Mus musculus: one gene and its partners. The protein of the gene in region 3 interacts with the protein of the main gene of each other region in a pairwise test. Links are inferred from orthologs where the notes say so. Each region holds a gene or a part of one and is shown on either strand. Other genes may lie near its edges.

Region 1 (7,765 bases), on a different chromosome or scaffold from region 3:
CTTCTTTTCCGTCTTTCCTATAATCATCCTTACTCGCCTCTCAGAGGACTGTTGGACTTTGTACCGGCAGTCCCAAGACCAGGGCTCAGGGACAGCACCTGGTGGTAGAAAGATGATGGGAGTGTGGCTTTGTAGTACCAGCATAGAATCCTACTGTCAGGGGATGAAGGCTCAGCAAGTTATTCTAGCTATACCCCACTCCTTACCCACAAGTTAGGAATGGGGATTAGTAACAGTGGTCAGATCTTAGACATGAACTTTGGAAGGTTTTGCTCCCAGCCCATAGGGCAGTAAGCATAGCTCAGCCTCCCAGAGGCTGCATGTTCTGGGCCACACAGTGTGCATATTTGGGCCAGAGAAAGAGTGGAGATGTTCCTATGTCTGTATTCTGTCATGGCCATGCCTCTATTACAGGTGTGGCAATGCTGCTTACACACTTGCCTGACATGGTTGCCATCACTGGTCTGCCCTCCTGTAGCATGTGACAGTTATACAGCTCAGGATAGATGTGGGTTTAGTACATTTTCCCTGTTCTGCCCATGTCAATACATTGTGTCAGTCACAAGGGAGAAGAAACTGCATACCTATTTCCACAGAGCCCTAGACTGTCCAAGGTATCCATCCTTGTTATCTGACAGCAGGCCACGAAAGCCTATATCCCAATACAGCACAGTGGACCTGTTTTTTGAGTTCAGGAACCTACTCTGTCTTATTTCCTAGGAAACCAGAACTCATTTTCTGTTTGGCTCTTCCTGGCCTTAGAACACATTTCTCTTCTGTGCTTCATTCACCCCATGCTGTGGGACTCTGGGTAGAAAGGTGCCCAGGGTGGCAGTGTCCCAAAATGACAGACAAGAAGTGGTCTGGTTGCAAGATGCGCTGGGAATACAGGGAGGTACCTGGCACAAGCTGAGGCTGGTAGCTGACTCAAGTAGCAGCTAAGCTGAGTGGAAGGGGCCAGCCAGGCAGGCTTGTTATGAGTCAGCTGCGTTGTCAGAGCCACTTCCCAAAGGTGGCCTCGTCCAAACCTATTCTGAAGGACCATGTGAAATCTTCATGATGCCCACTGTAACTGGCCCTTCAACCATCCCTCCTACACAGGACACAAATAAATATACACCCAGAGCTCCAAAAAAGAAAACTCTGAGAACCTTGTGTACCAACTACAGCCATCACCTCAACTGTGCTTGAGCTAAGGAACAGCAGGGAAAGGGTGTACACTTGATGTTTACCATGGACACGGCTGAAGCGAGAAGCCTACATTCCCAAGGTATATAGTATCTAGGCCAGGACCTCAAACACTATATCCAAAAGCATTTCTCTAGGTACAGCCTTACAGCCTGACAAGTGTAGGGTGCCCTATGTTGGTTTTGAGGGCAAAGGGGCCAGGAGTGTGGTCAATGCAAGAGACTGGCCAAACATGAGGCCCATGGGCTGAAGCTTGTGCCTCTACATACATTCCAAGTCTGACACTGGTCATGATGGCACCTATCTGTATGGCTACAAACACACCAGCCTGGACTATATGAAACCCTGACTCAAAGAGGGGGAGGGGGCAGAGCTAACCTCTGAGGAGCTGACTTTCTTACATGAGTAACTATACAGGCAGAGGGACTGCAAACAGAGATTTAACCAGGGTCAAGAGGTGGCATGCCAGGATCTGAGCTCTCTAGGGTTTTGGCCATGGTCTGGGGAGGAGCCGGGCACCTCCAGCCAAGCCAAACAGCAGTCTCTTTCTAGCATCCACTTTATTGTAACATTTGGCCAGCCCAGTGGATGCAGTTCTGGTCAAGTGTCTCTGAGAAAAAGAAGCCAGAGCCTGGGCATGTAGTCCCTCTCTCAGGCCATACTGCTGCTCAACTGCATAGCAAAGTCCTGTACATGGTCCTTCAGAGTCTGGCGGGCATCTGCCTGTGCTCGCTTCTCCCGTGCCCGTTCCTGCTGCAGCTTGGTCAGTCGCAGCCTAAGCCGCTGCTCCCGCCGCTTGCAGGCCTGCAGCTGGCGCTGGGTCTTGTCCAGAGCATCAAGAGCTGCTTCAGCTCGCCTCTTCCAGAGCAAGGCGCTCCCCACTTGGTAGCTGTGCTCATTCTGGATGTAGGCTCCAGCAGGAGGTGGCAGCCGTAACATGTATGCAGATGGGGAGGCAGGCTGTGGCTCAAGAGGGGAGGGGTGCTGCTCTGGTGAGGGCTGTGTGCTACAGCCCGCTTCATCCGCCTGAGCACCTAGAGGGCCCAGGAGATCTGAGAAGGGGCTGTTAAGGCCAGGGTCCAGCCTCACAGCTGGGGATGCGGGCAGAGTGGCAGGTGCTGAGGCTTCTTCCACAGGGAAGCAGATGATATCGGCACGAGGAGGTGGAGAAAAGGGAGTTGTGGGTCCTTGTCTTTCGGAGCAGCTGGAGGGGAAACAGAAAGAAACTAAGGCATGCCAGGCTCCTCTCATTAGCCCATTTAGTCTCCCTAACATCTGAGCCCCCTTTACTGGGTCTAGATAGCAAAATAGTTCAGTGAAGATGCTGGCATTCACCCTAGGTCCAGCCCCTCAGCCCTGGGGTGAGGGTGGGGCATCCCCCGGTCCTGCAGCACATACCGCTTCCTGCATCGCCGGAGCCGGCTGACGTCAGGCAGGCCAGGTGGATAACCATGCCCCTTGGTCTTGGCTGTTCGACGCAACTTGGAGAAAGACTCAAATATGGTGGGGACTGCCCCCTCCTTCAGCCTGTGATACCCACTGTGGGGAAAAGCAGCCCAGATGAGCTGGAGAAAAGAACGCTGCCACGTCCCCTGATTCCCCACATAAGGCCCTGCAGAGGCGTAGGACCTCTAGGGATGAGAAAGGCCCCAAGGCACACTGCCAGTAGCAATCTCAAGAATGCCACGTGTGGTAAAATCAAACTCATCTTCCCTGTGAATGAGCTTCCCGGGTTAAGGTGAATGGAGAACCCACCAGCAGGGATAGGTGGACGGCTGGAAGAACTAGGTGCTAACCATCCTATGAAAAAGCTGTTTTTCTTTTGCATGGAGCGGCTAACCTCAGGTGACTTCCTTAATCATTCTCTACCTTTGTTTTTAAAGATTTTTTTCCTTAAAAACCTTTTTTATTTTTATGTGTATAAGTGTTTGCCTATGACTGTTCACCGAATGCGTGCCTAGTACCTACAGAGGTTAGAAAAGGATAAAGGATCACTTGGAACTGGAGTGAGCCAGTTCCAGTTCCAGACTGCTATAAGCCATTATGTGGGTGGTGGGAAATGAACACAGGTCTTCTGGAAGAACAGCCAGTGAGTGCTCGTAACCTCTGAGCCAGCTCTACTGATGTGTATGAATATTTTGCCTGCATGTACATATGTGTACCCGTGCCCTCAGAGGTAGATTGAACCCCAGTCCTCTGTAATGCTCTAAAATGGTTAAGCCATCTCTCCAGCCCTTCCACCTTATTTTTTTAAAGACAAGTTTCTCAACTCAACACAGGGCTCAACAACTCATCTAGACTAGCTTTTCCATAAGTCCTTGGGATCCCCTTTTTGTTTTGTCTTCTCCAGGACTGGGATTAAAGGAACAAGCAATCACATGTGGCTTTTTATTTGGGTCCTTGAATCTGAAATCAGGTCCTAATGCTTGCATACCACGTCTTTAGCAAAGGGGGCTATTTCCCCAGCCTGGAAAGCCTGATTTTCTCTAATGTCACTGGCACAGTGATCCTGGGATCATGCTTTAACTGTACAAAACTGGAAAGAGGCTTGGCACGCTTGACAACTGGTCTGCTTGTCTCTGAGCATGCCAGCGGATGTGCATGGACTCCACCAGGGCAAAGAGCTGCCTCGTTTGACCCACTGCTCTGATGCCTCACAACCTGTCCTGGTGTTAGCTGGCAGAAAGACCCACCTGATTCCCACCAGCTCAAAGCAGTTTTCCTCGAAGTGTTTGGAGCAGAAGTAGATGTACTCAGAGGTCGGATCCCACAGGCCCTGGCCGCTGGGGTCCAGCCGCTGACAGTTGGCCAGCCACAAGCCGCGCCTGGGGTTGTCTTTCTTGGGAAGTCTGCAGAGCCACAAAACCGTGAGCACCAGACTGTCTACAGTCCTGCGTTCAGGATGCCCAAGCTCCCCAAGCAAGAATGGCAGACCTCCCCGCGACCCTTTCAGATTACCACCCGCTGGGGGAAAGGAGAAACTGAGAACGAGAGAAAGAAAGGGGCCGGCTCAGCATCATCTAGCAGGAATGAGTCGGAGCTGTAAATCCAAGCCAGGTAAGCGTCCAGTCCTTTTTCCGGCTGGACTCGAGACTATGCGCCCTTCCCTGTCACCCTCCCGCTCACAAGTTCAAGCCTCACATCGACCTCGGGAAAGCGCCGTCTCCTGCGAGGCCTAAGGTGCGGCAACACCGGCGCCTGCGCTATGAGCCCTCGCGTGCCACTACGCACGCGCGCTGACCTGTGGAAGGAGATGCCGCGGTTGCGAGTCTCGCGCGTATCCCGTGTGCAGCAGCCGGCGGCGGAGCAGTGTCGCGGCATCTGGGGAAGGGGCGGGATCTGGGTGGTGGGCGGCAGTCGGGGGAGGACTGTCTTCACGCCCAACTGTCACTCCCTCCAGAGGGCCCGAGCCGGTCGGCTCCCCGAGGCCCGACCCCGTACCAGTCTTGTCCTAGCTCGTTCTATAGACTCCCGTCAGCGGTACTCACGGTCTTGCCATTGCTGCGCCGCCAAAATCTCGCGATGGGTGGATCGACGCGGAAGTTGGGAGCAGAGATACTCCGTCGCCCGTGGCGCGGGCCCCCAAGGGGCGGGACCGGAAGAGATCCTGGCGGGGCGGGCCACCGGATGTTGGGAGTGAGGGATGGCGATCGTCGCTCCCGAGTTGAGGTTTCTGCATCTGTAGTTTCGGGTCCCTGTTTTGTTTGAGCGTCTGTCGTTTGGACGAAGCAGCTGGGTGTGGTCTGTACTGCTCCCTGAACAACGTACGCGCACACTCTGGTTGAAAAAGATCCACCACCAAGAAAAACCTGGGCTCTTTACTGAAAGAACTCGGCCACGGACTGGTGGCTCAGCACTTGCTACCAACCCTGAAGATTGAATTTGATCCCCAGGACGCAACCTGCTGGAAGGAGAGAACCAACGTCCAGTAATTGTCCTTTGATCCCCATATACATGCACAAAATAAAATGTTAACGACACATTTAGAACATTTTCTTTTAATGGCCTTGTAAAGGCCTGGGTGAAGATAGTGACCTTATGGGAGGCCGTCCCAATATACTAAGTAGCAACTGTCCAGTTATCGGAATGTTCATTTTTCAAACCCTGAGACGCTAGCCGGTGTGTTCCGAGAGCACGGTTTCCCCAGTGATGCTTTGAAGGGGGATTTCTCTGACCACAGGATCAGGCGTTTTACATTCTAGGCTCACTTTTGTAGCAGGAACAAAGTCAGAAATGGGTTCCTTGGGTTTCTGCTGGGGGAAGAGAGGTGAACAATTACAATCTTGGGATGCAGAAGGGGAGGTTATGGGACTCCAGGCCTGAAGGGCACAAAGGCATACTTGATCTAAGTACCGGCGAGGTTGGGTAGCCTGTTATGCTCCTGTAGAGGAGTTGTCTTGGCTGAAAAGGTCATCGAAGCCCCTATTTAGTTGGTTTTGATTTTTCCTGATCTGTTGGAGGCATTCATCCCTATATAAAGCCTCCCATTGAAGGAATAGGGGGCAAGAAGGACCAACCGATGTGCTGGCTCAGTAGTGTACTTAGAGCTGCACAAGACTCAGAAGAATGGATTTGGCCCAGGGTGCATGAGTACCATCCTCCTTTTGATTGTCTAACCTCTTTTAATTCATTGGCCCAGTAGGGATACCAGTGTAGGGGCAGAGAGTAAGTGAGTTGAAAACATGGAAAACCCAGGTGTTACTTTATTTGTGCTGAAGTTTGGACGAATCTCTAATTTCACATAGTTGGTGGGTGTGGGAGGTAGAAGACAAAGAGCCTTCAAGAGTTCTATGAGTGTTCTTAGGGTGTGAGGGAGGCAGGAGGGGGCATAAGGCATCAGTGGGGCATAAAGAGGGTGTGTGTGGATGTGGCAGGTCATTTTCTAATATACTCAATGGCCTGTTCAAGGGCAGTGAGCTCCACCTAGGGGCAGTCTTCAGGGCGCTCCTCCACAAGATGTGGCCAGACAATAGACTTCACCTAGGTTAGAAGACTCCACCCTAGGTGGGCTAGGCAACTGTGGTAAAACAAGGTCTGATTCAGCCTGTTCAAGGCTAGCCCCGACCAAAAGAAGTTGCCCCTTCACCGTAGTCAGTCCCTTGCGATGCCTCAAATTGAAGGTAAAGGAAGAAGGAAGAACCAGCTGAGGATCCTCAGGTTGGGATGCTGATGTCCCTCAGAAGGAAATCCTTGCCATCTTCCGAGCATCCCTGTTTGAGCCCCAGATGTGGGTCCTTTGCTCCCGACTGGGCGTTGATCACTGGTGGTCTCAGGATGCAGAGGAGCTGGGGAGCAGGGTCTCAGGCAGTGGTGAGTATTTTATTGAAATAGTGGGGCTAACTGACGTAGCTCAAGTCAGAGGGAGGAGAGGTAAGTGTTGCAGCGGGGGCAGGGACCTTCCAAGTGTATTAGATTAGCAGACCACAGTCTGTCGGGGTAATCTTTTTTTTCCCACAGTGTAAAGGTTGTCTTTGTACTATTCAAATGTTGATTTCTGTACCGGTGACGAGTTGAGTGCTGGCTGGACTTTGGTATTGGTTATTTTTATGGATCATCACCTGCTTCAGTATTTTGTAAACATACACCTCCCTCACCTTTTGATTGGTTTAACAAAGATCTGACGGCCAGTAGCTGAGGCAGGAGAGGAGAGGCGGGACTTCTGGGCAGAGATGGACTCTGTTGGAAGAATCAAGTTGACACGGAGTCGCTCGGACTTAGTGAGTGAGAAAAAGGTAATAGGCCACGTTACAGACATGGATTTATTAAATTCATCAAGCTACACACCAGCCAGAATGGCTAAAATAAAAAATTCAGGTGACAGCAGATGCTGGCGAGGATGTGGAGAAAGAGGAACACTTCTCCATTGCTGGTGGGATTGCAAGCTTGTACAATCACTCTGGAAGTCAGTCTGGCGGTTCCTCAGGAAATTGGACATTATACTACCAGAAGATCCAGCAATACCTCTCCTGGGCATATACCCAGAAGATGTTCCAACTGGTAATAAGGACACATGCTCCACTATGTTCATAGCAGCCTTATTTATAATAGCCAGAAGCTGGAAAGAACCCAGATGTCCCTCAACAGAGGAATGGATACAGAAAACGTGGTACATTTGCACAATGGAGTACTACTCAGCTATTAAAAACAATGAATTTATGAAACTCTTGGGCAAATGGATGTATCTGGAGGATATCATCCTTAGTGAGGTAACCCAATCACAAAAGAAGTCACTAGATATGCACTCACTGATAAGTGGATATTAGCCCAGAAACTTAGAATACCCAAGATACAATTTGCAAAACACAAGAAAATCAAGAAGAAGGAAGACCAAAGTGTGGATACTTCATACCTCCTTAGAATAGGGAACAAAATACCCATGAAAGGAGTTACAGAGACAAAGTTTGGAGCTAAGACGAAAGGATGGATCATCCAGAGACTACCCTACCCGGAGAACCATCCCATAATCAGCCACCAAACCCAGACACTATTGCATATGCCAGCAAGATTTTGCTGAAGGGACCCTGATATAGCTGTCTCGTGTGAGGCTATGCCAGTGCCTGGCAAACACAGAAGTGGA
Region 2 (7,991 bases), on a different chromosome or scaffold from region 3:
ATGGTCGCTGATGGGATTACAAGCTCTGTTTCTATGGGCAAGGGAGCTAGAGGTCACACAGGAAAGCCAAGACTCAGGGTATGAGAGCTGGAGCTCTAATCCCACTTTCCCTGAGGCTGTCTCAGCTTGCTTCTCATGTCATGGCTAGCCTGTCAAGTTAATAAAAGCCTTCTCTCTCTCTCTCTCTTTTTCTTTTCTTCCTTCCTCCCTCCCTAGCTCCCTTCCTTCCTTCCTTTTTTCAAGAAAGTTTTTCTGTGTAGCTCTGGATGTCCTGGAACTATGTAAACCAGCCTGGCCTTGAACTCACAATTTCCCGCCTCTGCCTCCCGAGTGCTGGGATTTAAAGCGTGTAACAGCACTGCCCGACATCAAAGCCTTTTTCAATTCTCAAGGAGGAACCAATTCTCTAACTTGTTTTTATGGTCCTGGGAATAAAACTGAGGGCTTGTTAATATTATCACTCTACTACTTGACATACATAGCCCCAGCCTTTAGTGGGGGGTTCTAGGCAAGAACTCTATCACATTCCCAAGCCTCAATAACCTTCATTATTAAGCTACCAGTGTCTAACTTCCAGAAAAGTAGCCTCCAACTTGAGTGAGAAGTAAGCAAAAGATAATTAAATAGCAAACAGCTAATACAGAGCTAATCTATACCTTACATTACCTCAGATAGAGGAAAGCAGATATCACTGTGCAGTAGGCTGGGTGGAGGTCAGGGTGGGGGTTCTAACAAAGCCACCCAAATATGATCCCATCCCTCCATTTAGAAAGTGCTGGAAAGTCCAAGGCCTGGAACTTACAGCTGAGAGTGCACAGAACTTGTCTGACTCAGCAGAATCCAGGAAGTCAATCAGCTCGATCTCAAACAGGACGGTGGCATTTGGCGGGATGAGGGGAGGGCACCCCAGGGTGCCGTAAGCATAGGCTGGCTTGAACAGGAACCTGGCCAGTTCCCCTTTGCGCATGCTCAGAAGGCCCAGCTCCATGCCCCAGAGTGTAATATCTGGAAGAAAGGAGGTTCACTCAGCATTCAGTCCGTCCGTTCACAGGTACCAGTTTCCCTATGCCAACCCAAGCCCATTGGGTTGGGTGCCAACTCAGTGCTCAGTCTTGCTCCTGCTGTCCTACTTTCCCCAGACGCCATCTTCTGCAGGCTCCATCTCTGTTGCATAGTCTGCTCTTTCTTTTAAGTTCTCTGCCATTAATGCCTGTGGTCTATCTACTGTAACTGAAATTTAAGATTTTTTTTCCTTTAGTTTTATGTGTACTTCTATGTATGTTTTGCTGTTTGTATGTGTGCCAAATTCATTTAATCACTGCCCACAGAGGCCAGAAGAGGGCATCAGATCCCCAGAAACTGGAGTTATAGACGACTGTAAGCTACCATATGGGTGTTGTACATTGAACCCCATCTCCTGGAAAAGCAGCCAATGCTCTTAACTTCTGAGCCATTTCTCAAGTCCCACAACTGAAATCTTATTCAAACCTCAGGGCTCTCATCTCAAGCCTTCTTTTTCACAGAATGCCTGTGACCCTGCCAAAAGGAGGGCAACTATAATGTCACCAAGCAGACCCAGGTTACCCCTCAGAGCTCCAGGCTTCATTTAATTCTATCGTCCATTTCTGGACCAGAGACCAAGCTCCCCAGCCCTAGCAAGGTCCATAAGATGTGGATCTCATCATCTGAGTGTGGCCTCTTGAGATGTGTGCGTGTATGTGTTGATGCGTGTGTACATGCATGCAGATGCTAGAAGACAGTCTCAACTGTCATTCCTCAGGGGCATCTGCCTTGTTTTTTGAGACAGAATCTCTCATTGTCCTGAAGTCTGCTAAGGAGGCTGGCTGGCCAGAGAACCCGAGGGAGCCGTCTGTTTCTGCCCTGCTGCACTGAGATTATAAGCATATGCTACTATAGCTGACCTTATAAAACAAAAACCAACCAACAAACTCAAACCCACGGGCTCTATGGGATGGAAAGCAGGTCCTCGTGCTCGAGTGGCAAGCACTTACTGACTCCTTCTCCCAGACCCTGTGCTGTCTTATCTCACTACACACGCTAGGAAGGGAGCGTTTACTATGTTATTTCATAAATGCACAAAGCATCTTGTCCAGTGGATCCAGGTGTGGGGGCTCATGTTTATCACCCTATCGTGGCAGAGCTGAGCTAGGAGACTTCTGAGTTGATGGTAGGTGGGGGCTTCACAGTGCGATTCCGTCTTAAAAGCTGCCCTGCACCTGGAGAGATGGTTCAGCAGTTAAAGAGTGCTTACTGCTTCATGGTGGCAACAACTGCCTAATTACAGTTCCAGGCGGCTTGCCACCCTCTTCTGGCCTCTGCAGGCACTGGGCACACATACACATATACATAAAAATTTTAATAGCACCCAATGGGCAACTTAGATGCCAAGATAAACTTGCCAGGTAGGCTACCAGCCAAAAATAATGTCTCAAGAAGAAAAGTGACAAGACAACCTGGGTGCTTCCCTGAAACCCAAGCTCAGCTACAAACTCTAAGAACCTGTTTCCTGGATGCTGTGACAGTCTTAAAACATGGCCTCTTTTGCCCAAATGACCCAGGTGACTTTACCTTCTCCAAGTTTCATCAGCCGAGGTGTTTTCCTAAAGCAATTAGAATCGAAAGGCTTGTCCATGTGCTCCAGGTATCCAGAATATTTCACTAAGGCAGAGGAAAAGACAGCACGAATGTGAGGAAACCATGCCTGAGGCACCGCCAGAGCCATCAACAGGGAACACTACGATTGGCTGTTCGTGGTAGAGGACGTCTGTAATCCCAGCACTTGGGAAAGTGAAGACAGGAGTAGCCTCAGCTACACTGCAAATCTATGCTAGTGCTAGACACCTGTCTAGTCAGAGACGCTGTCCGGGGGTGGGGGAGAATTAAATGAGTTTACGCTGCCTGGCACCCCGACTCGCAGGAGAGCTTCTTGTGGGGTTCTGAGTATCTGACTTTCAGCTCTGAGGTTCAAAAGCTCTCCTGATGAACCAAGCCTGCTTTGTTTCTGAAAAGCTCAAGGCAGGCAAAAATGGCAGCCACTTGTCACCCCAGCTCTAAAGAAGCTAAGGCAGGAAGAGGGTCAATTTGAGACTGGCTTGAGATACAGGGAGACCCTGTCTTAAAAAAAAAAAAAAAAAAAAGGCTAGACTTGGTGATGCACAGCACTACGGAGGCAGAGGCAGGTGGATCTCTGAGGTTTGAGGAGAGCCTGACCTGGTCTACTACATACAGAGTTGCAGGCTACCTAGGGCTACACAGTGAACCGTATCTCAAAAACAAACAAAAAATTAAAACAGGACTGGAGAGATGGCTCAGCAGTTAAAGAGCACTGACTGCTCTTCCAGAGGTCCTGAGCTCAATTCCCAGCAACCACATGGTGGCTCACAACCATCTGTAATGAGATCTGATGCCCTCTTCTGGTGTGCCTGAAGACAGCTACAGTGTACTTAGATGTAATAAACAAACAAACAAACAAACAAACAAATCTTTAAAGAAAAAATTAAAACAAAGGCATATGCCAGCAATTTGGGAGGTAAAGCAGGCAGCTCTCTGTGAATTCGAGGCCAGCCTGGTCTTCAAAGGGAGTTTCACAGAGAAACCAGTCTTGAAAAACAAACAACAACAACAAAACAACAACAACCCCACCACTCCACCCCCAAAACAAAACAAACAAGAAAATCAAAACCACAAACAAAACCAGATAAACAACAACAAAACAGGCAGAGGATGTGGCCCAGTTGGTAGAATGTCTGAGTAGCATGTAGAAGGCCCAGGGTTCCATCCCCAGCACCTCAGAACCAGGCATGTTAGCAGACACGAGTAGTCTAAGCATTTGGGAGGTGACACAAAAGTTCTAAGTCATCTTTGGTTACATACGGTCTGAGGCCTGCAGACATGAGATTGCTTCTCAAAACCAAACCCTCTTTGTTCAGGGGAAACACAGCCAGTCCCATAAAACGCCGTATTTTGTAAATATGCAATCACTCACTGAAGGTACTCAGGTTCCAGGTTCAATCCCTGGTACCTGGAAACAACACCTTGACCCTGCCAAGAGGGTTGGTGTACATTCCCAGGGCTCTGTCCCTAGCACACTATAAAACGTAGTGGTGGCCAACCATTAGCCCAGGACTTGAAAGGCAGAAACAGGAAGATCAGAAGTTCAGGGTCAACCTCAGCTAGAGCGGCAGTTAAGAGGCCAGTCTGGGTTGCATGAGACCCTGTCTTAAAAAACAAAACAAAACAAAACAAAACAAAAAAAACAAAAACAAACTTAACCCAAGGACAAAAGAGCAGCCAGCAGCGGCCTCCATACCCAGCACAGAAGCGTCAGGTGTCACGGTATCGCCAGTGCCCTCTCGGATGATGTCCTTCAGCACACCTCGGTCCCCGGAGATGTCCAACATGCGTTGACTTAGTCGCTCATAGGGAGACTGGTGGAGAGAAAGCCACAGGCCTCAGAGGTGGAAGCCGCTTGCCTCATCGCCTCAGGCCAGCGCCATGGTCCCGCCCTCACCTGGCCTAGGATGCCAGCCCCTTCCAGGGCTCCCGGGTCTCGGGTGCTGCCACCCATGGCCGCGCTCCAGGTGCTCCCCAGCTCGTGCTCCCAGGCTCCCGAACCCCGCTCCGTACCTGGCAGTCGTCTCGCGACGGTGGGATTCCGTTCCTGAGGCGCGAGAAGACGCTCATCTTGCCGCACAACTGTCTCCAAAGGCCTTGCCGGAAACGACCCCGGAAGTCAGGCACCACGCGGGCTGTGCACGAGAGAAACGGCACGTGATCGATAGACGCAGCGAGCATGCGAGCATGCGCTGAGGGTCTCCCAGCACGCGCTGCACACGTGATGGCAGGCGCAAAGCAGGATGGAGCCCTGGGAGGGCTTCGGACAAAGCATTTTATGCGGCACAAAAAAAGCCTTTCCTTTGGTCTCAATGTTATGCTTGGCGTTCTGTCACAAAAGCAAAACACATTGCTACAAAATTAGTGACTGAAACCAACGCATGCTTTTTGCCTCGCGGTTGTCTTAGATGCTCAATAGCTTATTTGTATGTGGCCTGGCGATAAAAGTGGTCATTATTAGGCAAGCGATCTACGACTGAGTCACAGCCCCAGGAGGATACAAGTACGTGGCCCTCCTCCGAACTAGGCATCCAGTTGCTTTACCGAGGAGTCCAGGCAAGCTTTCTGCTGATGAGCTATGTCTCCAACCCGAGAGTTCACCTTTCCTTCCTTCCTTCCTTTTTCTTTTCTTTCTTTCTCTTTCTTTCTTCCTTCCTCCCTCCTTCCCTCCCTCCTTACTTTACTTCTTTCTTTCTTTCTTTCTTTCTTTCTTTCTTTCTTTCTTTCTTTCTTCTTTCTCTCTCTCTCTCTCTCTCTCTCTCTCTCTCTCTCTCTCTCACAAAGAGGATCTCACTATGTAGTCTTGTGGGCCAGGAACTAGCTAGGCAGAATACGCTGGCCTGGAGAAGTCACAGAGATCCACCTGCCTCTGTCTCCCAAGTGCTGGGAATCAAGATGTTTGCTACCACAGCTGGCTCCAAGATTTCACATGTTAAAAGTTCATATTTTAGTAACATTGACAGAAAGAGTCAAAGAGTACTGTTCACATCAAATTCACAAACAGACCCCATAAGATAGGGAGATAATTCAGGAGTAGAGCGCTTTTGTAGCATGCTCAAGACCCTGGTTCTATCTCCCAGCAAGGCAAGAAACAAACAATGGCAATCAAGATAGCCAAGTGGGTAAGGTGTCTGCCACCAACCTTGACAGCCAAGACCTACAGGTGGAAGGGGAGAACTGACTATTGCAAGTTTTATCCCCTGGTTTCTCATGCATAAGGTGGCCTGCACCTGCAAGCACACACAATAAATGTTAAAATACATACATACATACATACATACATACATACATACGGGCAGCTGGTAGGAGGATACGAACCAGAACGGTAACTGTGTTGATTGCAGAGCCTGTTCTGGCAGGAGGCAAAGGACTGACTCTGCAAATTCTCTACAACTAGATTTTTTTGTTTTGTTTTGCTTTTGAGATAGTCTCATGAGGTCCAGGATGGCCTTGGGTGTGCTACATAGCCTGAGAATGAACTTGACTTCTGGCCTCCGGTCAGCATTTCCCAAGTTCTGGGATTATAGGTGTTCAACACTCTGTCCAGTTTACAACTTGACCTTGAGCATGAGTGTACACAAATAAGATAAAAGTTACACTGCGTGGTTAAGATCTGTTCACATGTTACACCTCGAATGAGAAAAATCAGAGTAAGCAGCGTATTTTATCATTGCTGTGTGTGTGACCCAAACTTAGAAAACGAGAAAAATCTAAATAAATAAAATACCTTTAAACTTCCGGGTTGAGGTATTCAGAAAGCTGCTCGTCATACAAAGCTTATACCTGCTTGTGCTCCGAGCTGGCGCACGGTCTCAGCCCTTCCCCCATCCTGGGCAAGGCCACACAATCTGCCTGTGTAGGTTATCGTAAGGGAACCCAACAGAGGCCGCCGCCTCAGTCTCGTGGTGTGTGACCCACTTCCCACCTGATTCTGGATGACCTTGGGACACAGGTGTTGCCGGGAAAGGGGAGGGGATGGGAGAAGGGGCAGACACCAGGCAGTGGCATCTATGTCCAGCTGGCTGCCCCGGGTCTCCGTGTCAGCTTCCCCATTCTGGGAGGAAGGAAAGGCTTCAGTGACCAGAGAGAGCTGCTTGTTTGAGGCCCTAGTGGGAGGCCTGCTGGACCACAAGAAATCAGGTAATGCGGTAGTGGGATGTGGGTCGAGTTGCTGCTATCTTGCTCAGTGGAGACTTTGTTTCTGTTTTGGAAGATGAACACCCAAGGCTCTTTTTATCTCAGACTCTGTGAGGACAGTGTTACCCTGGGACAAGGGACATTGCTCTTGTTGTTCAGGATGTAGCTACTGAGTAGATACTGACTTACCAAGCATGCTTAAGGCCCCCAAGGGGTCTATACCCAGAACTATTTAAATTGTGTATAGTGGAGCACACCTGCAATCCCAGCTACATACAGGGTTCAAGGCCACCACCGTCCACAGGACCCCTATCCCAAAAAGAAAAAGTAACAATCTGGCTTTAAGATTGCTTAGGCGGCAGGTTCCTGGTGCTCCCTGCCTTTAATCCCAGCACTTGACAGGAAGAGGCAGGCAGAGCTCTGTGAGTTGGAGACCGGCGTGGTCTACAGAGAGAGTTCCAGGACAGCCAGGGCTACACAGAGATTCCTTGTCTTGAAAACAAAAAAATAAACAAAAAGTGCCTGGCTTGAAGGTGTATATTACAGATTTCTGGGTCTCAAGAGAGAATCTTCCTTGAAGTTGAATCCCTGCCTGGAACTGGGGCTCTGGAATCTCTAGAATAGCAGTTCTCAACCTTCTAACACTACAGCCCTCAACACAGTTCCTCATGCTGTGTGACCCCCCCCAACCATAACAAAGTATTTTTGTTGGTACCTCATAACTAATTTTGCTACTGTTATAAACATCTGTATTTTCCCAGTGGTCTTAGGCAACCACCTTGAAAGGGTTGTCGGAACCTCAAAAGGGTTGCAATCCACACACTGAGAATCATTGCTTCAGGACAATTTCATGAGTGGCTGTTCATGCGCAAGGCTCTGGGTTCAATCCCCCCCAGATGCTGGGGTTACATGGGGGAAGGTCCTAGCTCAATGTGACGTTTGTGATGCTAGAGATTGAACCCAGGACCTCATGTATGGAGAAAAAACTCTGAATTAGACTTGCAGTTGATCTATATATCCAGACTCATAGTGGCCATTGTTTTCCACTTAAGTCCTTTTTTCCCAGACGGGGAAACTGAGGCTCAGAGTCATAGTAGGCGCTAGGATCAGAATCCAGGGCTGGCATCCTTTTCTCCCTAGGCTTTCAGCAGCCCTGGGGGAAGGGAAAATATGACAGAGGGAGGGGGCGGCAGGATAGAGGACTGACTGCCACCTGTGTT
Region 3 (7,995 bases):
AAAAACAAGGATGTAGAGGCCCATAGTAAAGTTAAAGGTTTTGCCCAAGGACACATACACACACCTCTGAATAATTGAAGCAACTAGGCTGGAGGTGGTAACAAATGCCTTTAATCCTAGCCCTCGGGAGGCAGAAGCAAGCAGATCTCTGTGAGTTCGAGGCCAGCCTGGTCTGCACAGTGAGTTCCAGGACAGCCAAGGCTACAGAGAGAAACCATGTCTCAAAAAACAAAATAAAACTAACTCAGACAATTACTATATTGTTCATTTGAGGTTGCTGGGTACTTTACTATGTATTAATTCTAACAGGAACCTACAAAGATTAGCCTCTAACCGTAACCATAAAGACACAGAAAACGGGGCTCAGACAGGTTATTTCACTGTCTGAGTGGTAAGACAGAACCCATATTCTTTGCTCTACTGACGCTTCCAAATTCTAGCTTCCCTGAGGGGCTCCTGGCTTCCCACCCAGGTCCTCCCAAAAGGGCTGCCCGTTACCTTCTCCAGCTTTCCAGAGACAGGGATGAGCTTTGGTGGGGGCCCACGGAGGTGGGCATTGTGTGCCTGATGTTCCCGGGGATCTTCAACATCACTGCTGGGGCTGGGAGGAGACTCTGTCCGGAAGTCCTCATTGACATAGGTAAAGCTATTGCCTGGGACAGCCTTCCTCGGTGGCACAGCCGGGCAGAGCGGTTCCTGTGCCTCGTAGCCACCCGGTAGCAGCCCATCCTGCTGGCGGAAGAAGGTGGGCCCAGGGACACCATGATGTCGTTGAGGAGCAGGTCCCCCGGGGCAGGGCCGGCCTGAGATAAGACTGCTCACGCTGCCCATTGCTGGAGTTTTGGGGGCAGTGGCTGTCTCACGTGCGGGCTCCAGAGGCACTGGCAGAGTGTGCACAATGGCCATGGTGGCAGAGGCTCAGGTCTGGCCAGGGGCCTCCGGGGCAACCTGTGAGCAGGGCATTGGTGTCAGAGTCCCTGCACCTTGAGGATCCTCCCCCTATAAGCCTTCTCCTGACCCCCTCCTCCAGATAGAACATTCCCCATTTAGGAAAAAGGCTTCCCTTCCAAGAACTGGCATGAACCTCGAGTTCCTCTGGGCCTCAACTCTAGTCTGGAACAAGGCTAAGGAATAACTTGACCACACAGAGAGGAAGGAATGGGAGATCTAAACATTTATACAGGGTTCCTTGGCAGAGAAGACCTAGTTTAAGCCCCAACCTGTATCCCCTATATAGCCAAAGACTCAGATTGGGCAGAGATCCCTAACTCTAGCTCCCAGTACAGGTCCCTACTCTCCTGGGACAGGTGGCCTCATTACTGGGCTGTTTGGGCAGAGGACACGTCAGGGATGCAATCAGCAACTCAGATGGTAATTAGGGAACAAAGAGTCAAAGCCAGGCGCTGTCCAGCCTCCCACCACTGGGCCTCAGTTTCTCCCAGACACTCAGGCGGCTTCGAGGGTGGAGCTGGCCAAACAGGAAACCTTACAGGTCTTAGGAATCCACAGGTGCCCTCTGGGGTCTCTCCTACCTCCCAGAGGTTGATGCAGGCTGTGCTTGTTTCCATGTCACTCTTAGCTTCTGCCATCACTCGGGACTAAGGGAGCCTACCCAGGCCCTGTCCCACTGCCAACCTTTATAAACCTTCCTGCTTTAGTTGATCTTCAGAATAACCCCTATGGAATTTGAGCAGGAGCCCATTACCACGTCTAGTAGGAGCTCAAGTAAGATGGCTGGCTCCGCCTCCCCTAGTCTTACTCCTTCCTGGAAAGAACAGCAAGCCTGCACCCAGAACGGAACTCCCGCCCAGTCCCAAGGCTGCCGATGACCAAGACTTAGGCATCTGCTGAAGTCATCACAGAGCAAAGGGGCCAAAAAGTGGACTGAGGATCCATGAGAAAGAAGAATGTGTGTGTGTGTGTATGTGTGTGTGTGTGTATGTGTGTGTGTGTGTACATTTACTTGTGGGTGTGAGTACATAGACAGGGTCATAAAAAAATGAACAGTATCTGTGAGAATATGCATGAAACTGTGCAGTCCATGTGGGTTTAGACAGATGTCAGTACGTTCATACATGTGTGTATATGTGTGTGTGTGATGTAGGGGACATGACAAAACCAAACAGGGTTGTGCTATGTACCATAGGTGGGCCTCAAACTCAGATCCTCCTGCCTCAGAGAGCTGGGATTCTAACCTTGTGCAAATATGCCGAGCTGTATGTGTGGTTTTTTTTGTTTTTGGTTTTGGTTTTGGTTTTTCGAGACAGGTTCTCTCTGTATAGCCCTGGCTATCCTGGAACTCACTCTGTAGACCAGGCTGGCCCTGAAATCAGAAATCGGCCTGCTTCTGCCTCTGCTTCTAAAGTGCTGGGATTAAAGGTGTGCGCCACCACTGCCCACTGTGAATTCTTTTTTGCTGTTTTGTTTGTTTTTTGTTTGTTTGTTTTTCCAAGACAGGGTTTCTCTGTGTAGCCCTGGCTGCCCTGGAACTTGCTCTGTAGAGCAGGCTGGCCTTGAATTCAGAGATCCACCTCTTACTGCCTTCTGAGGGCTGGAATTAAAGGCGTGTGTGTTACCACCACCAGGCTGTATGTGTGAATTCTTATGTTTTACAAAGTTATGAGTTTCGTAACTTAGAAAGCACACCACACAGTTATTAATGTGTATAAAACAAATGAATCTGTGGGCTCTGGATGTCACTATATGGCAAAAAGAGAAATGTTTGGATAGATATACCAGTTTGTGCACACATATGTGAGGTTTGTGTAAATACCACTAAATCTTCCAGTCACCTATCCTCAGTAAGCCATTCTGCTTCTTCTCCTAGCATGAAATTCTAGGGAAAATCCTCCTTTCTTTGGGTCCATTGAGTCAAGTCTCTCATAGACTGAGACACACAAATCTCTACAGGACGCCTGCAGTTCTCCTGGGACAGTTACATGGATTCCTACTGTACACAAGAAAAGTGTGTGAAAGCTCCCCAGGACCAATCTGTATAAGTGAGCGTTCTGGGAGTGCATGAGGACCTGGGTGACATTCAAAGCCACCAATGTGAATGGGGACTCCTCCTCCCTAAAACTTTTTTTTAACTTAAGAGTTTGAGGAAAGGTGAGATCACAGTGCCTGACGCCCTTGCCCCATCTTATCTTTGTATATTGTTCTCCACTAAGTGCCTCTAAGTGTTAAGACCAGAGACTCACAGGAGTCCAGCGTGAGGAAGGAGTTGCTAAGAGCTAGGGTAGGAACTGAAGTGTAGCAACTTCTCTGTAGGGTAGGTACTGAGATCGCCCCCAAAAGGTCCAGCCTAGGGATGGAGACTGCTCCACAGTATAGTGAGGAGTGAGAAGGGGCTGGCACTCCTGTCCCTACTCCAGAGGACACAGAAAGTGAGACCCAGAAGGAAGGGCAAGGGCCGGGGTAGACACTCAGAGAGACAGGAGCCAGAAGACAGAAGAGACAAAGGCCAAGAGGCTCAGACACGAGGAGCCAGAGGCAGACCCATGAGTTAGGGTCGCTGAAGCTACACAGGCAAGGACCCCTAAAGCCAGAGGAGCCACAGAGCTGAGCTCTGAGGGCCAGGCGTCAGGAAAGCCAGGCCTAGCCAGCCTGGCTCCCGCTTTTGAGGCCCAAGAGAGAAGGAGGGGCAAGCGGCTCCATTTTGAGAAATGCGTTTGTAGCTGTGGGAAAAAGAAAGCCCTGGTTCTCCCCAGCACTCCCTGACCTATCACTATGGTACACAGACCCCTGCGCCCCCACCCCAGCAAGTAAGCTGGGGGTTCTAGAGTCTGGGGCCGCGCCAGGGCCTGAGATGAGTCTGGCCCACGTCCCAACTCTCTGACCTCAGGGCTGGGGTTGGAGAGTTGGGGAAAGTCCCCCCAAACACACACACTCAAACTCCAGAGACCAGTCAAGCAGGATCCAGTCTGGGATCACGAGTTGCCATTCCGAGACTGAAAGCCCAGAGTCGTCGTGTCCCCCCACCCCCCCCCCCGCCACCCACAATAGTCCGCTCCTTCCATAAACTGGGGGCGTCTATGGAATGCCACCTCCCCACCGGACCGCATCGCTTAGAAGTTGGGGCACCCTCAGCCCTGGACCCCTCACCTCCGCCGCGCTGCTCCATGCTCAGCCCCGGGCCGCCCCAGCACTCCACAGGCGCGCCGCCCGCTCCAGCCCGCGCGCGGCCACTCGGAGCTGCCCGGCTCGGCCCCGCCTCCGCCCAGCCGGCGCCCCCGGCCCTGACCGGCCCCCGCCCGGCCCGAGTGGGCGGTGCGCACTGATGGGGGGAGGGGTCCGAGGGGCGTTCCCGCCCCGGGGAGCGGACACGCGCAAGTAACCCACGTCACGCGTGCCAGCCAGGGCGCACGCGGGGGCTGCTCGGCGGCGCTCGGGATTCCTCCCAGAGTGGCCTAGCAACTGTGTGTGTGTGTGTGTGTTGTGTGTGTGTGTGTGTGTGTGTGTGTGTGTGTGTGTGTGTGTGTGTGTGTGTGTGTGTGTGTGTTAAGTGTGGTGTGTGTGTGTGCTCGGTAGCGCTCGGGATTCCTCCCAGAGTGGCCTAGCGACTCTGTGTGTGTGTGTGTGTGTGTGTGTGTGTGTGTGTGTGTGTGTGTGTGTTAGGAGGCTCGGCCGGCTCGAGACTCATCGAGCCGGGTCACCATCGCCTATCCCTGCCGGAGCCCAAGGGCCAGCGGCAGCTGGTCATTGTTCCAGCACAAAGAGCCAAGGCGCGGCGCCAGCCCCGCCCCTCCCCCTCCGCTCCTCTAGGAGAAGCTTCCCTCCTCAGTCTCCAGCTTCCCGGTCCATGGGGAGGCCGAGGGGGTCAGCCATCCCTCTCCAGTTGCCGGCTCCTGGGCACAAGTTGAGGGACTGGCTCGGTCGCTGTCTGTCCCACCCCCAGCAGGCTGGAGGTCACACGCTTGGATTTTCCAAATCGGCGCCACCTGGTGGCCCTTTCCAGCAACTTACCAGCCCCCCCCCCCCAAGACCCCCACCAATCCCACTCCCTTTCCAGCACAGCACCCTCGGGCCGCGAGCCCAGGCTTGTCCCTGGCATGGCTCCAGCCTCCCTAGCCGAACCTCGGGGGTCATTTGCTATGAGAAGGGTCGCTGCTCAAAGGGGGTGGGAGGGATACCTGACCCCCAATAATCTCAAGAACGAACAGCTCAAACCTACACTGGCTCCGCAGCAGACATCCCAAAGTCTCTCTTGGGGTCACAAATATTTTTACCCTCTCGAAAACAACAGTCTTAACACCCACACGACCTTTCCCACATTCAGTCTCGGGCAGCCACAGTCAGTCTCATCCATCACGTGGCTCCATAGATCTTCATTCCATAATCCTTCAGGCCAACTCACAGAAGGCTTGGTGTTTCGTGCACGGGAGAGTGCACAACAGTCCTTTGCATCCAGTCACATTCTTTAAATACACTCAGCCTCCCAACCCTCTTCCACGCAATGACAGCCGGATTCAGCCACTCTGGAAACTTCTTACATCATATTCACAAACTACCCACTTTCCCTGAGGGGTCTCTGTGACCTGCTCAGGTCAGCCGACCTCACATGTTCTGGCAAGGCCATCCTCCCTTCCCCGATCCCCCCCGCCCCCCCCCCCAAGGTCTGCCAGAGCTGGGCTCAGCCCCAGGAAGAAGCACCCCCCCCCCTTCCAGGCCACAGCCTGGCCGGCTCTCAGCTCTATTTTTAGCTCCATGGAAAGGGTTGTTTTTCTTTCTTTTTCCCTGGAAAGGAAAACACAGCCTAGCCACCCTCAGGCTCACTCCAGCCCCTCAGCTTCACAAGAACATACCGAACCCCTCTCCCTAACAGAAACCCCCTCCTCTGGCCTTGCCCTGATCCCTGCCTCCTGGGGCACCGAGAACCTCCTCCCCTTTCTGGCCTCCAGCCCAGAAGCTCAGGCAGCAGCTGGGCTCAGCATGTGGCCGGGTGAGGGGTGGGGGGAATGAAGGATGGGGGCCGGAGGGGGAAGAGGCTGCAGCCCCCTCTTTCACTTTCAGAGAGGGGACTCTGATCTTTCTTCCACCTAGAGGAGACACACTCCCCTTAGGTTTAAGGATATATTTACTCTTGGTGCGTTCCCTTTGAGGAGGGGTGAGGGGAGACTCTTCTCGCTTGAGTGGGCTATTTGTGCCCAGTCCTGCAAGGGGTGGAGGTGGCGGTAGGAAGAGGACGTAAAGACAGAGCTGTATGAGACCGGGGCAGCTGTCTGGGGCCATCAAGGTCCTTTCGGATACCTTTCAAGGATACGGGTTCCAAGAACGTGCTAGTGAGCTCCAAGGCAAGGAGCCCAAGTTAGCCCCAACCCTCTCCAGGTCTCCGGGTCACCCAGGCCCCCAGGGGCGTTGAGCTCCCATTCTGGGTGAGAGGATTTATCATCATTCCAGGTGAAGTGTGGAATAAAGCTCCATACAGGGCGAAACAAACATGCTAGGACCAGCGGAGAGGTAGATGAGAGGGGTGTCCCTGCCTAGACAGGAGTTGGGGAGCACTACCCACCCGGCTGCGAAGCAATCACGTGCTCAACGCCTGTTTACGTCTTGGTCTTCACCTGCAGGCAGCCGGCTGGGAAGCAGGAACCGCCTGGTGCGACAAACCCCGCCCGCCCCCGCCGATAGTCTCAGGGCGTCCCCTTTCTCTCACTCAGCCTTGGGCAGAAAAACTCAGCGTCCAGGTCGCAGGGTGGGGTGGGGAGTCGCGCGAGCTAGTGGTACTGCCATTGGGACAGCTAGGGTACCTCGCTGTGTTTGTCCTTTCCTGAGCACACGTGTGTTCGCGTCCTAAGTGAATGCATGGGTGTGTGTGTGTGTGTGTGTGTGTGTGTGTGTGTGTGTGTGTGTCGGCGCGTGTGTGTAAGTTTTCTTACTCCTTTGCTGTTGTTTCGCCTGCGGTCCACAGAGTGCGGACCCTTTCCTCATCCCAAGACGCGTAAAGTTCTCTCCAAAGTGAGGACCTGCGGGAAGCCGGAGCTCCTGCACCCCGTCCGCCCCACCACTCACCCAGCGTCACCTGCGCCGCTGCTCCCTTTTTGGCCCGGCTCCCGCTCCAGCGTGCCTATTTCTTCGCCGTGATAGAACTCTACTTCTCCAGCCGGCTCCGGGCTCAGCGCTCCCGGCTCCCCGCTCCCGCCAGGCCAGCCCTGGAAGAGTGGGGCGGGGCGGCTGAAGCCGCGCCCCCCCCCAGAGGGGAGTGGTCTGCCCCGCACCTCCAAATAGCTAACCTAGTACCCAACCCAAAAGTAGCCTGACCCAGTACCCAGTCCAAAAGTAGCCTGGTGGTGGCCTAAGGCTGTCTCTCTGGCCTTTTGACTGCACAGCATACTGACTTTTGACCTAAGGGGAGGGCAGGCGTAACTGACGTTTTAGCTACCTGGCAGCCTTAACTAAGGCACGGTAGAGATTGCCTCTCTCCTGCTCTGTGGGGAACTCAGTCCGGTCCACTCTGCTCACAACCAGAAGAGGGAAAATCCCTAGGAAGCAGACAAAGAAGTATCGAGTTTCATAAAACACACACACACACACACACACACACACACACACACACACACACACACACACTCATTAGGGCTGGGGCTGGCTGGGGGCTGTCCTGGCAGACCTAGTACCGCCTCTTTCCCTAGAGTAGTTAGCAACCCAGGTGAGAAAGCTGCTAGTCCTGGCCCCCCATAGGGCACAGCTAGGCTTCCCTTAGATCCATAAAGTCCCACCCACAGGAGCAAACAGGAAGTTGGCCTGTATTTCAGGGACGTACCAAAGGCTCCTTTCCTCCCTGACTTACCAGGTATATTGTGGAAAGGCTTAAGTTTACAGCTCTCTGAGCCAGGCCCACTGCCTGAGTAGTTGGTTCAGGAGACCAAGGTGAGTTTGGTCTCAGACTCGCCCACATTACAGCTGTTGAAGACCTAAAGCCGCCCCCTCACGGTCACGTGAGACCCAATGTAAGTCTGAAAGCAGGGCTGCAGATCTAATCTGACCCTGCTAGGC

What was found. The genes of interacting proteins can lie anywhere in the genome.
Region 1: the proteins of Lzts2 (region 3) and Thap7 interact in binary tests that used the Homo sapiens proteins (3 or more experiments, as listed by UniProt). The two-hybrid records come from large-scale screens. The link is inferred for Mus musculus from reciprocal best matches to the Homo sapiens genes LZTS2 and THAP7.
Region 2: the proteins of Lzts2 (region 3) and Fkbp6 interact in binary tests that used the Homo sapiens proteins (3 or more experiments, as listed by UniProt). The two-hybrid records come from large-scale screens. The link is inferred for Mus musculus from reciprocal best matches to the Homo sapiens genes LZTS2 and FKBP6.

The regions. Positions count from the first base shown.
Region 1 is NC_000082.6:17,526,349-17,534,113, forward strand, and holds Thap7 (THAP domain-containing protein 7), read right to left. Parts: upstream 4,705-7,765; 5' UTR 4,677-4,704; exon of another isoform or gene 4,630-4,676; intron 4,510-4,629; coding exon 4,430-4,509; intron 4,038-4,429; coding exon 3,882-4,037; intron 2,728-3,881; coding exon 2,587-2,727; intron 2,393-2,586; coding exon 1,840-2,392; 3' UTR 1,634-1,839; downstream 1-1,633. UniProt on the Homo sapiens protein: Chromatin-associated, histone tail-binding protein that represses transcription via recruitment of HDAC3 and nuclear hormone receptor corepressors.
Region 2 is NC_000071.6:135,345,288-135,353,278, forward strand, and holds the start of Fkbp6 (inactive peptidyl-prolyl cis-trans isomerase FKBP6), read right to left. Parts: upstream 4,705-7,991; coding exon 4,648-4,704; intron 4,627-4,647; exon of another isoform or gene 4,589-4,626; coding exon of another isoform or gene 4,532-4,588; intron 4,449-4,531; coding exon 4,331-4,448; intron 2,680-4,330; coding exon 2,590-2,679; intron 1,006-2,589; coding exon 803-1,005; intron 1-802. UniProt on the Homo sapiens protein: Has an essential role in spermatogenesis. It is required to repress transposable elements and prevent their mobilization, which is essential for the germline integrity.
Region 3 is NC_000085.6:45,014,340-45,022,334, reverse strand, and holds the start of Lzts2 (leucine zipper putative tumor suppressor 2), read right to left. Parts: upstream 4,201-7,995; 5' UTR 4,105-4,200; intron 949-4,104; 5' UTR 907-948; coding exon 499-906; intron 498-498; exon of another isoform or gene 65-497; intron 1-64. UniProt on the Homo sapiens protein: Negative regulator of katanin-mediated microtubule severing and release from the centrosome. Required for central spindle formation and the completion of cytokinesis.